Linked DNA regions of Rattus norvegicus. The protein of the gene in region 1 interacts with the protein of each later gene in a pairwise test. Links are inferred from orthologs where the notes say so. Each region holds a gene or a part of one and is shown in the gene's direction. Other genes may lie near its edges.

Region 1 (3,196 bases):
GCCCTTGTGTGTTGTGTCTTCTCATTCTGAGCACCTTTCATTGGTTGGCCCTGGGGAATGGGGAAGACAATATACAGCAGATTATACTATTACCCTGTTGTGTTTCTGGGACCTCCAACCTCAGTAGCTCTCTTGGTGACTAATATTAATTTATTAGTGTCTCGTTTCTAAGACTTTTGTGTATTGTGAACACTAAGTATCCTCTCCTCATTCTGTACTAACACTGATTGCTTGGAGTTCAGTGACAAAGTTTTCCATTTTTCTCTCTTAGCAGTAATTCACTGCCATAGCGGATGAGTTTTTGTGGAGTCTTGTTTGATTAATTGTTGACCCTGACCCTATGTTTTATGTTTTCACAATGCTCTTTTTTCCTGCTAACGTCATTCACATCTTCAGGTGAACACCTTTGAGTTCAGCCAATCTCACAGAAGGACCCAGCCTCTAGGGCTGTCTTGTCAATCTCACAGAAGGACCCAGCCTCTAGGGCTGTCTTGTCAATCTCACAGAAGGACCCAGCCTCTAGGGGCTGTCTTGTCAATCTCACAGAAGGACCCAGCTTCTAGGGCTGTCTTGTCAATCTCACAGAAGGACCCAGCCTCTAGGGCTGTCTTGTCAATCTCACAGAAGGACCCAGCCTCTAGGGCTGTCTTGTCAAGTTCTCTTTACTCAGTGGTTTGGCTCTTAAGGAATGATCAGAACAGACAACATTGATATCCTCCTACTCTTTCTGCTTGTTGTCTGCAAGGACTTCAAGGAAATCTTGTCAGATACCTTGCATAGTCTGTCAGGTTCGTGACACATCCAGATGCTTGTGATTTCCTGGAGCCCAGAAGCTCTTTGGGACACCCAAATAGCCCGGCATTGTCTATGTGCCCATGGACGTGGGCTGCCTGTGGAGCCTTTAACTGTGGCTACACCTACACCAACAGCAAATGGCTGTCCCTTCCCTGCATCCTTCAGCCATCGGTGGCTGCTCAGCCACTAGCAGCTGACATCTGGGCTTTTCTTTTTTAGGTTTTGGGACAGGAGCCAATGTAGCCCAGACAGGCTCCAAACTGGCCATGCAGCAAAGTTCTGGGATTACATGTGTGCTACCAGAGCTAGAGTAAATGCCTTTTCTAGATATCCGTTTGTCATGAGAGGGCCTGGCGTGTAGACCAGGCAGCAGCACTCATGTGTGCTCCTGCTTCCTAATTTCTATTGTGGATTGTTTTACGTCCACTTCTAACATTAATTTTTTCATTTTATATATTTTTTGTTCTTAGCAACTTTTCCTATAAAATTGGGAGATTATATGCTCTTTGTAATTAGCTTAAATTTTTCTTTGAGAACAGTTATTCTTTAATCGAATACGTTAGCTTTAATGAACTCCACTCCATTTTTTTCCTCAAGACATCTTCCCCTTACGCTGTAACTTTTGATTCAAAATCCAGATTCTTTAAGCAACACAGTAAAGCGAATAGTAAAGATAGGAACTATTTCTCTCATTTTTGTGTTCAAGAATTCTTGTTTCCTGAATGTTTTCTTATGGCGTGTTTTCCTACCCATGAGGCATCAGGGTTTCCCAGCAGCCAGAGCATTTAGAAGCCTGATGGCACTCAGTGCATGCGGCAGGCTGTCAGGCCATGGCCCCGTGACTGAAGGTGGAGAGCTGGGGTGAGGAGTGCATTCATTGGCTCATGACACTGCTGTTCAGGACCAACAGCAGGTTCCCCTGGATTTCCTCAAAGTGACATCACCTGGCACACAATCTCTGGCCACCAGTGATCTCTACTTCATTCTGCAATGCATTTTGTTGCCTCCTCTCATGCCCACACTCCTTAACTTAGCTCTCACTTCTCCATAAAGTCAGTGAGCTACACCTACCCTCTCTAAAGGCCCAGGTTACCCCACCTCTTCTCACACACCTACATGAAGAGTCCCTGAAGGTGGGCCTGGAATCTTGCTTATGCAAATAGGAACCAATATTCTCATCCCATGGAGACAAATCAAGCACAAATACAGGGATAACCTAAGTAATCATACAGTATCCTGCCACAAAACTAGTGTGCTGGAATGAAACCACAGAGTCTCCATGATCTCCCTGGAGGTGAGAGAGGCTAAGCCATAAGAATGTTCCTGAGGGGGTTGGGGATTTAGCTCAGTGGTAGAGCGCTTGCCTAGCAAGCGCAAGGCCCTGGGTTCGGTCCCCAGCTCCGAAAAAAAGAAAAGAAAAAAAAAAAAAAAAAAAAGAATGTTCCTGAGGCATGCCCTCTAGTAGGCCGTGTTTTCTGGCTTAAGGACGGGTTCAGGAAGAAGGCGTGGAACTCACTGTTGTTTTTTGGTCCCCACAGAACATGTTTGGGATGTGGAAGCCTATGGTATTCTTGGCTATTGCAGCAGTAGCTCTGTATGTGTTACCCAATATGCGACCGCAGGAACCAGAATTCTACATGAATTGATGGCAGACCTGGACCAGCCCAGAGGGCAGATCCCCAGAGGCTACCACCCTCACCTTTGGGCAGAGTACACTGTGCCAGAACCCCCCACCCCATCAGTGTTTCTCCATCTCCTTTGCCTCAGTATTCAAGACTGAAAAGGCTTATGGGAGTTGCTGGCTCTCAATCTCCTGCCTTGTGTAAGAACCTGGGTTCCTTGTAATTAAATGTCAGCCTGATTACATGAGACGTTGTGTGACTTTTTCTTCAATAAATGTTTCACATAACATTGAACAGAGCAATTACCCTTCAACCAAGTATATCCCATAAGAGTCTGTTTTAAATATGATTTTTCAGAAATGAGGTTGGTTCCCTCTGCTGTCGGTTCTCTGTGAGTCTGCTGCCAGCTGAATCACAGAGATTGATCTGACCCTATTCAATCCTATCTCAAGAAACTCTTTTTTTTTTTTTTTTTTTTTGGTTCTTTTTTCCGGAGCTGGGGACCGAACCCAGGGCCTTGCGCTTCCTAGGCAAGCGCTCTACCACTGAGCTAAATCCCCAACCCCTCAAGAAACTCTTATAAACACAAAGAAATACAGCAAACTGGGTACTCTGTGTATGGGGCTAGAGGCAATGGGCAAACAAAAGACCTTCCTGGCTTACCCTCTCAACTTAGGAGATTCATTTTTGGAGACATTTTAATTAGTCAAGAGCCTGGCAGCAAACAAGACAGTCAATACTTGGACTGAAGAACATTTCATGAAGCAATTGTGTGTGAA
Region 2 (4,110 bases), on another chromosome or scaffold:
TAACAATGTTGTAAATAAGCAGATAATATCAACATGTAATCAACATACTTATTTTTTAAATTCACAAAGTTTAAAAAAACCCGGTACATTTATGTCAAGTTGGCCACAGTACAGTGAAATGTAGTCCTAATGAAACTTATAGTTATTAGAAATCCTATCCTATTCATATGTATAAATTTAGATTCATAAGGATAATATAAAAGGTTTTTACAGTGAGCTAAATTTTAACTCTAAAAAAAAAATCTCCTGGGTTCGGTCCCCAGCTCTGAAAAAAAAGAACCAAAAAAAAATCTCAGTATCAACATTTCCAATGATAAATAGTCACTCCTGGCCAGTGGCTACTATTTCAACAGCTTTGGACCTACTCTAGAATTTTGCTTGCACCTCTAGGGCAGACTTTGTACCTCTAGAGGGACCTCTGTTGAGGTTTATTTTTGTTTGCTACGCCACTTGGTTAACACTTGTGCTTTTAGTATTTTAAAAGCCAATTCAAAGAGTTAGAGAAAACTGCACGTTTCTTTTGGAATGTTCACTAAACTTTACCAAAGTTTGCTTGTGAATAAAAATTCTTTGGGCAAAATCAAACAACTTTACAGAAGTAGGTAAACGTGCTGTTGATTTGGAATTAGAAAAGTAAGCCGAGGATCGGTGGCTGAATCACTTTGCCTACTGCTTTGTGTGGCTGTCTTTTAGCTTGACGACAGATTTAACTTCTGCATATTAGGGTTAGCGATTTTCACCTTCCTGACAAGCAAACTTCAGAGTTTGCACTTCTCGAGAGTATACAGAGGTCTTTCACAAAAGCAGGCGGTAGTCGCTGAACTCGCTCCGACAGACAGAGATTTAGCTAAAGCCCTTTTCTATTTTTAGCCAGACCAACTGCGGGTCAATTCAAGTTTCTGCGGGAGTGAAAAGCGCCTAAATACAAAACAGAGAAGCGGAAGGCTAGATCTTTGCCGGGTACCACTCCAAGACTACACCCCGGAGACTACGCCCACCGAAACTCCACTCGGGGAATTGTTTTTGAGGCGGCTACAGCCGGCCCCAGCAAGTCCCCGCGTACAACCCGGAGACTCCATTGCCTTCAAAGCCAGCAGCAGTGCGGCCCCGCCCAGCCCGGACCAGGGGGTGTGGCCATCAGAGAAGGGGCGTGCCCAGCCTTGGGCGCGGGGCGGGTCGAGCGCGGAGGCGGAAGTTCCCCACCGGCTTGAGAGGGACGGCGCAGGCACCGCGAGCCACTTGTCAGCGCTGGTCTGAGGCGGAGGGTGCGCCGCGCGGGTCCGGAGGTGAGTGACCGCGGGCGGCGGCGGAGCACGTCCTCCTCCGCGATGGGAGAAACGGGTGACGGGGTGCGGCGCGTGGAGGGGCGCAGGACGGGAGGAGGACGGGGTGCGCGTTTCCTCAGAGCCGCGGCTCCTCAGGTGCTCCCGGTGCGCGCGGAGGTGTGAGAAGTGCGGGGCAGGGCGGCGCGCCGCGGGTCAGCGTCCAGAGCCGGGACTCTCCGGGACCGGCGCTCGGGAGAGCCGGACGCACCAGGGGGCGCCCGCGGAGCCCGACCGCGGGGGGCGAAGGGCAGCACCTCGGCCTGGGGCGCGCCAGCCCCCTGGGAGGCTCTGGCGAGCGGAGAATGTGCGCCTGCACGGGAAAGCGGCGCTATTTTGTTTGCTGGCTCCCGGGCTACGGAGAAGCGTTTATTTTCTCCTCCGTGAAATATTTGCCGTTGTGTAACCTGTTAGGGTTACAGGTCGGTGCGTCTAGAATGAAAGGCCACTTAGATCGGTCGCGGTCGCCAGTTTTATGAAACTGGTGGACTTTTTGGGGCTTTGGCCAGATTGTGCTTCAGCGGCGTTTGACAATGAGTGGAAAAAGGAAGGGCGTATGGACTGGGCAGAACTTGGAAAGAAAATTCGTGACTGGGCTGGGCAGGTCTAGGGTGTGATCGCCGGATCCTATCCCAGGTCCGCCTTCTTGACCCGAGGACGTCTGAACCCGCCTGCTACGGAAACTGCTAGCTGGGGAACCTTATTTGGCCAACTTGGCTAGGCGTGAACCCTAGCTGGGAAACGTCTCATCCTCTTTCATCCTAAGCCTTAGCTCTTTAGTCCGCCCACCATTCTATCTCAGGAGGAGAGAAAGAATCTCTAGGTAGTCTTAATTGAAGGGCTTACCACTCACCACAGTAGGTCTGCCCCGTTACGCACACCAAAGAAGCTGACACTGAAGTGTGGGAAACCACTTTTAGCGTCCCTCACCAGCAGTAGATGGAAGGCATTATTTAGACTGCCCCTAAAAGAAAATCCAAAACTCTACAGAAATTCCAACGTTTTTTACATGTTTGAAAGCAGAATAAGCTGTTATTTCCTGCCTGCTTGGTTGGTATTTTAGCGTTTGGGCACTAATAACCACATGGGGGAGACTTGGAAAAGGCCAATGACAATTCTGCCCTTGCTTAAGGATCAGAATATTTTAAGACAAATGAATTCCAAGTGAAGCTAGCGGAAAGGGAGTTTAGGGAAGAGACTGGTGTTGCGGTTTGGCTGACTTGACTAGTACTAGAAATGTTAATAACAAATGGGAGAAATCAGGAAGGGAGTCCCTAAGAAAAGGGAAGTTACATGGATGTGGGCTGATACCCACATTCTCTCCTAGGGAAAAATGGAGCCAGAGTGCGTTTAGCGTAACTTTCACATTCTTCCCTTGACACAGTTAAAGATTAAGAGACGACAGTGGCCTGGGAACTATCAGTTGGTTTACTGATTTATTTGTACTGTATGGCACGATCAAGACTGCCTCTACTGGTCTTGGGGAGATCCTGCTCCAGCTTGTTATTAACTCCCTAGCATTTAGTTTTCACCTGCCCGTTGGCTTCCTGTGGGTCTTTTTCTATAGCCACTGCTTACTACTGCGGTACGGAAGTAACGCTACAACACAATAGTTCGGCACTACCATTCCACCTTAAAAGATTTGCAGTGCACAATATCCCGGAACTAGATTTCCTTTAAAGTGTTGCCTCATTTTCCATTCTTGAGAAGAAGGCGTCCGTTTTTTGCCTTCTCTGTGGTACGTGTGCTGCTGCTGAACTTGATGACATGGGTAGGTGTTAAAGTGGATGTAAAAAGTAGTATATTAACACGGTTGATCAGACTTCATCTATTAAATCAAGCATGTCAATATACTATATATTCATATATATACTCATATATATATATATGGCCTCATAAATGCTACACAGACTCTGTACCACTGAGATATATTTCTATCCCCAAAGCTTTGTTTTGACAAGTGTCTTTAAAGCATTATAACATCATATACCTGCCATACTTTTAGACAGAAGAACTGTATATCTCTATTATTCTTTTTAAAGAGGGAACAATGTTCATTATTCCCAATGCCTCCTAACTACCAGTAGGACCCTCTTAAGTCAACTTGAGCTTTTAAAAGAGCTACCCTGAAGTCATTATGAGCCTAAGAACAGCAAGACAGGAAAAAAAAAAAAAAGAAAAAAAGAAAAAGCACTGCATCATGGTAATTTTCTAAGGCTCCAATTTAGTTTCATTAAGGTTAACCTTGTATTTCAGTTATGGTTAACATAGCCTCATTTACTCGCTTAGGAAGGCTTAGTCTCTGCTCTGCTGGATTATGTATAAGCATAAAAGAAAACAAAAATTTAGAGTAAGATACTACCTGTTCTGGAATGTGGCCCATCACTGCCTAGATGAAAGAAAAATAAGGACTTAGGTTTACTTCCTAACCCCATAAACAAAGAACTAGACAAACAAAAGCCTAGTTTTAGACATATTTCATACTTAGAAATTCTGAACTGTTACATCAGCAACCTTATCTTTCCTTCCTTGTCATACTTTTACACATTTTAAACTCCACCTAAACTTCTCTTCTATCACACCAGATTTACCAGCATATGTAGATATCTGACCCACTGAGGATGAAGCCACACTAGTTTTAGGGATTCTAGTTTCTAAGGAAGAATGACTTCAGGGATAATGTGCACTAAAGGTCCCTTAACTGTGGAAAATACCATGTTCCAATAGAGGAGGCTAGGAGTTACGGTTCTAAATCAGAATAATTACAATTCCAAAATGCTGAACAGTT
Region 3 (4,253 bases), on another chromosome or scaffold:
CCCCGGAAGCCTGAGCCCTCCAACAGGTAGACTGGAACTGCCCCTCTGGAGCCAAGCATTCTCCTGGCAGCCCAGAGAAGCCACACTTGATTTATATATATATATATATATATATATATATATATATATATATATATATATATATATAATTTTTTTTTCTGAACAAAGGGGAAAGGAGTGTGGCCTGTCGCCTTGGGAAAGTGGCAAAATCTGTCTGACTTTTCCATTTGGGAGATGTGGACTAGTTCAGAAAACCACAGGGCTGGTGTCTGGTGTCGCAATCCCGGGGGGTAGCCCAAAGCCTTTATCTTCTATTAAGGGTTGTCTGCTACAACTGCCATTAGTAATGAATAGATGAATGGACATGGCCAATAAGCCTGGCGTTATTGAACCCTGGCTCTGTTTGAGGAAGCTTAAAACTATTGTTTTATCCTTATCCTTGTGAGATGTAATCACACCTTATTATTCATGGTTTTTGTTTATTTGTTCCTTTGAGTTTCTCCTTTGTGTGCATTTGTTTGGTTGGGTTTTTTTGGTTTCCTTTGGTTTGGTTTGGTTTGGTTTGGTTTGGTTTGGTTTTGAGACAGAGTTTCATTGTGTTGCCCTGGCTGTCTGCTTTGTAGACCAGGCTGTCCTTGAACTCAGAGATCTGCCTGCTTCTGTCTCCCAAGTGCTGGGGATAAAAGGCATGCGCCACCATACTAGCTCTATGATTCAGTTTTACAAACTACATAGCTAAGATTCAGAGACTTAAGTATCCTCAGAAGTTATCTTAGATCCATGAAGGGAAAGAATAAGAATTCAGGCCTAGACCTAGAAGTCCACTGTAAAAACAGTAGTGGACTGAAAACCAAGGGCTGGTCCCAGCCACTCTTCTCTGCCCGTGTCCAGAGAGGAGCTAGGTCCTCCCTATCTTTTTTTTCCTTTTCTTTTTTTTTTTTTTTTTTTTTTTTTTTTTCAGAGCTGGGGACCGAACCCAGGGCCTTGAGCTTGCTAGGCAAGCGCTCTACCACTGAGCTAAATCCCCAACCCCGGTCCTCCCTATCTTAAAACACCAGCAGCTGGGTTAGCAGTTTGGCCTCTTCGTGTTCGCTCAACTTGTGACGGACAGCACTAGAGAATCCACCTTCTCCATGTCTGGGACTCAGACTCATCCCCAGCCCTCTGCTCTGACCCCTGATCCTTCCTGTTATTTCCAAGTATTCCCAGGATTCTGGCTCATTCTCTGCTTCCACCCAGTCACTAGGCATTGGGTGGAAGGTGGGCTTGTCACTGCCCCTTTAATTCTCCTGGGGCCTGGAATGCAAGTGAGTTGCCATCTCGGCGAGGTCAGATAAGATACTATATATATCTAGCTAGCGTAACCTGAGCTCCGGATTACCCAGCCCCAGTCAGACTCCAGCTTCTAGACTCTACAACAGCCGTCTTTTCCCTGCGAGGAAAGAAGCCCCCAGATCCCATCCAGTGCCCCCGGACACAGGTCAGTAGCCCTCTCTTTGGTGTCAGAGCTTCAAGTATGGCTAAGTAAAGCCTCATTGAGTTCGGGAGAGCATTTGAGAGGCTGCCCGCTGGACTTGGTGAGCGTTGTAACCAAACCCAAATGCTCCTCAAGATATGGGGACAGAGGACAACTGAAGCCCTAAAGGTGGGGGGGTGAGACTCTCTCCAGGGCAGGGAGCACTAGGAGGGGTACTTGAGCAAAGGGGGTGAAGAAGAAAATCACAAGATACCTTCTGCTTCTAGGAAGCCTGTTTCTTTGCCTTTTCTTGGACTTGTAGAGATATCTATCCATCCCAACCCCAAATCGAAAAACACCCTGTGTGATCCCCCCCTAGGCCCACCCACCTCTCCACAAGCCAGGATACTTGTCCTGATCTCTCTCATCTCTGATCTCTTCACTTTACCTCTTCAACTCCCATCCCCTCCCCAAGTTCTGGGCACCTCCAAAGTGCAAGAGAAATGGAGACCTGCACAAATTCCTTTACAGGACCTCCCCTCCCCAAAGCGAGAGGATTCTGTGATAAAAGTAGGTGGGTTGCTGCAAGCATCTGATAGAGAGCAGTGCTAGCAACAGGTCAGAGGGTCAGGCTCAGGGCTCAAGAGGCCTGAGAGGAGCCGATGGTATAATGTAAATGTACAGCTCTTGCCATTTTCTCCACTCTGTCAGGGTGGACACTTGTGGCCAGAGAGTCTAGCAAGGGATCCAAGCAGCAAGGAGGAAGGGTCATAGGTGTGACAGGGTGTCTATCCCCCTCTTAGTCCTCAGTCAGCACATTCTGATACAATTAGCAGGCAGCTTTGGGAAGCTCTGAGGTCACTACTGCGGAGGTTCCCGAGCACCTAGTGAGACTGACTGGGTCTCCCTGCTGACCTGCCCTGAACATCTGGGTAGGAAGAAAGGGACTTAGTGGTGTTTTAGGTGTGTCCATGAAGTGTCTTGTAGGGTAGAGGACGTAAGTGAGGGCAGTGACAAAGCCACAGATGTGGCTAGGCCTATGCCTCAGAAAGATGAGCCCATCGGGACAGAAAGGGGCATGAATCTGCTAAGAGGTGGTGTATCACCAGTCCTCTGCCTCCAGGGCCAGGAGTGTCTGGGATTCTTGAGGCTTAAGTCCCTCCTCCAGCTGGGCAGGTTAGGGAGCCCTTCACGTGAGCTACAGGAAATGACAGTGACTGATGACAGTGACTTGATGCCAGGTGGTTGGTTGCCTCAAGGGAACAGGGTTCGTTTCAACCCCTGACTCACCTAGTGTGGGTACTTTGGGGAGTGGGCTAAACTGCAGCCGTGGGAAGGAGGCTCAGGGATATGTCTGCCACCAAGCTGGGGCCCAGAAGCCTGTGCTGGGGTAGATGCCAGTACCAGGGGACACACAGGGCTTGGCAGAGAGGATGAAATAGAGGCCTCGATCACCATCTCTCCCTCGATCAGTATTGTGCTGCAGCTCAGGTTACACCAGGCTTCATTTTCATTCACTTACAGTGGAAAATCCAGGGGCTGCTCCCGCAAGCAGCCTTCTCTCCTAGCGGGATAAATAGGCGTGGGCATCCTGGAGGGGTCCTCCTTTGACTTCACAGGCCCATGGCCCTGCTTTCAGGACAGGGGATGGATGGCTTCAGGGTAGCTGCAGTGAACAGAGCTCAGTTCCCACCCAGCAGAGACAACTGCAGCAGCCTGACAGCGGGAGAGGGTCCACATGACTTGCAGAAAGAACTGATTCGGGTTGGGGATTTGGCTCAGTGGTAGAGCGCTTGCCTAGCAAGCACAAGGCCCTGGGTTCAGTCCCCAGCTCCGGAAAAAAAAAAAAAAAAAAAAAAAAAGAACTGTTTCCTTACCCACAAATAGACGCATTGATAGCATGACCGCTTAAAGCTGCCGGGGGAACTGAGTTAGTGTGCTAGAGCCCTAGTCGGTGCATCTTTAAATGTTAAGATCTGAAATATCGGGGGCTGGGGATTTAGCTCAGTGGTAGAGCGCTTACCTAGGAAGCGCAAGGCCCTGGGTTCGGTCCCCAGCTCCGAAAAAAAGAACCCAAAAAAAAAAAAAAAAGATCTGAAATATGGACAATAAAACTTTACTTAAGTTTCACTCTTAGGGGCTCATACTTAACAATCCCAGCTCTTGGGATATGAGACAAGACAGAGACTTTGAGGTCAGCCTAGACTCGTCCAAAAAAACAAAAACAAAAGCAAAACAAGGCACTATTTAAATTTCTTGTACATTTAAAAATACGAATTTTTTTTCGTTTTCATTTAACGCAAACAATATAGCCTTTGCAATTATGTTTCTTAAACCTGAGAATGTATGCATCTAAAAAAGTTCAAGCTTTCGTCTGCCTTGAGATTTTCAGGACCTCTACACTTAAGGACACTGCCAGGAAGGCTAGGGAGGACCAAGTACATACAGGATGAGGCTATCTGGCAGACAAAGTCAAAAGCTGCATTCAAGGTCCTCAGTGAGTTCTATGCCTGGTCTGTAGGTGTGTGGGACCAGTTGGCTGGGAGCCTTAGCTGCATGGCTCCGTTGTCCCAAGAGGAAGCCAAGTGCATCTGTGCAAAATGATGCCACCATGCCAGTTTCTGTGGGGAAACTTTGCAAAGCGATGGAGACTCTCAGAGAGAAGGGAGACATCAAAATCTCTGTTAAAAAAAAAAAAAAAAAAGGCAAGAGTAGGAACTACCACCACCACCGCCACCGTTGTCCAAGGTGGCAGGCCCCTGGGGAGGTGCAGCCAGCAGCCACATGCCTGAACTTG

The links. The genes of interacting proteins can lie anywhere in the genome.
Region 2: the proteins of Ccdc136 (region 1) and Pdlim5 interact in binary tests that used the Homo sapiens proteins (3 or more experiments, as listed by UniProt). The two-hybrid records come from large-scale screens. The link is inferred for Rattus norvegicus from reciprocal best matches to the Homo sapiens genes CCDC136 and PDLIM5.
Region 3: the proteins of Ccdc136 (region 1) and Usp2 interact in binary tests that used the Homo sapiens proteins (3 or more experiments, as listed by UniProt). The two-hybrid records come from large-scale screens. The link is inferred for Rattus norvegicus from reciprocal best matches to the Homo sapiens genes CCDC136 and USP2.

Annotation. Positions count from the first base shown.
Region 1 is NC_086022.1:58,990,299-58,993,494, forward strand, and holds the end of Ccdc136 (coiled-coil domain-containing protein 136), read left to right. Parts: exon of another isoform or gene 1-1,285; intron 1,286-2,333; coding exon 2,334-2,441; 3' UTR 2,442-2,664; downstream 2,665-3,196. UniProt on the Homo sapiens protein: May play a role in acrosome formation in spermatogenesis and in fertilization.
Region 2 is NC_086020.1:233,790,620-233,794,729, reverse strand, and holds the start of Pdlim5 (PDZ and LIM domain protein 5), read left to right. Parts: upstream 1-1,253; 5' UTR 1,254-1,286; intron 1,287-4,110. UniProt on the Homo sapiens protein: May play an important role in the heart development by scaffolding PKC to the Z-disk region. May play a role in the regulation of cardiomyocyte expansion. Isoforms lacking the LIM domains may negatively modulate the scaffolding activity of isoform 1.
Region 3 is NC_086026.1:53,309,474-53,313,726, forward strand, and holds the start of Usp2 (ubiquitin carboxyl-terminal hydrolase 2), read left to right. Parts: upstream 1-1,396; 5' UTR 1,397-1,480; exon of another isoform or gene 1,481-4,253. UniProt on the Homo sapiens protein: Hydrolase that deubiquitinates polyubiquitinated target proteins such as MDM2, MDM4 and CCND1. Isoform 1 and isoform 4 possess both ubiquitin-specific peptidase and isopeptidase activities.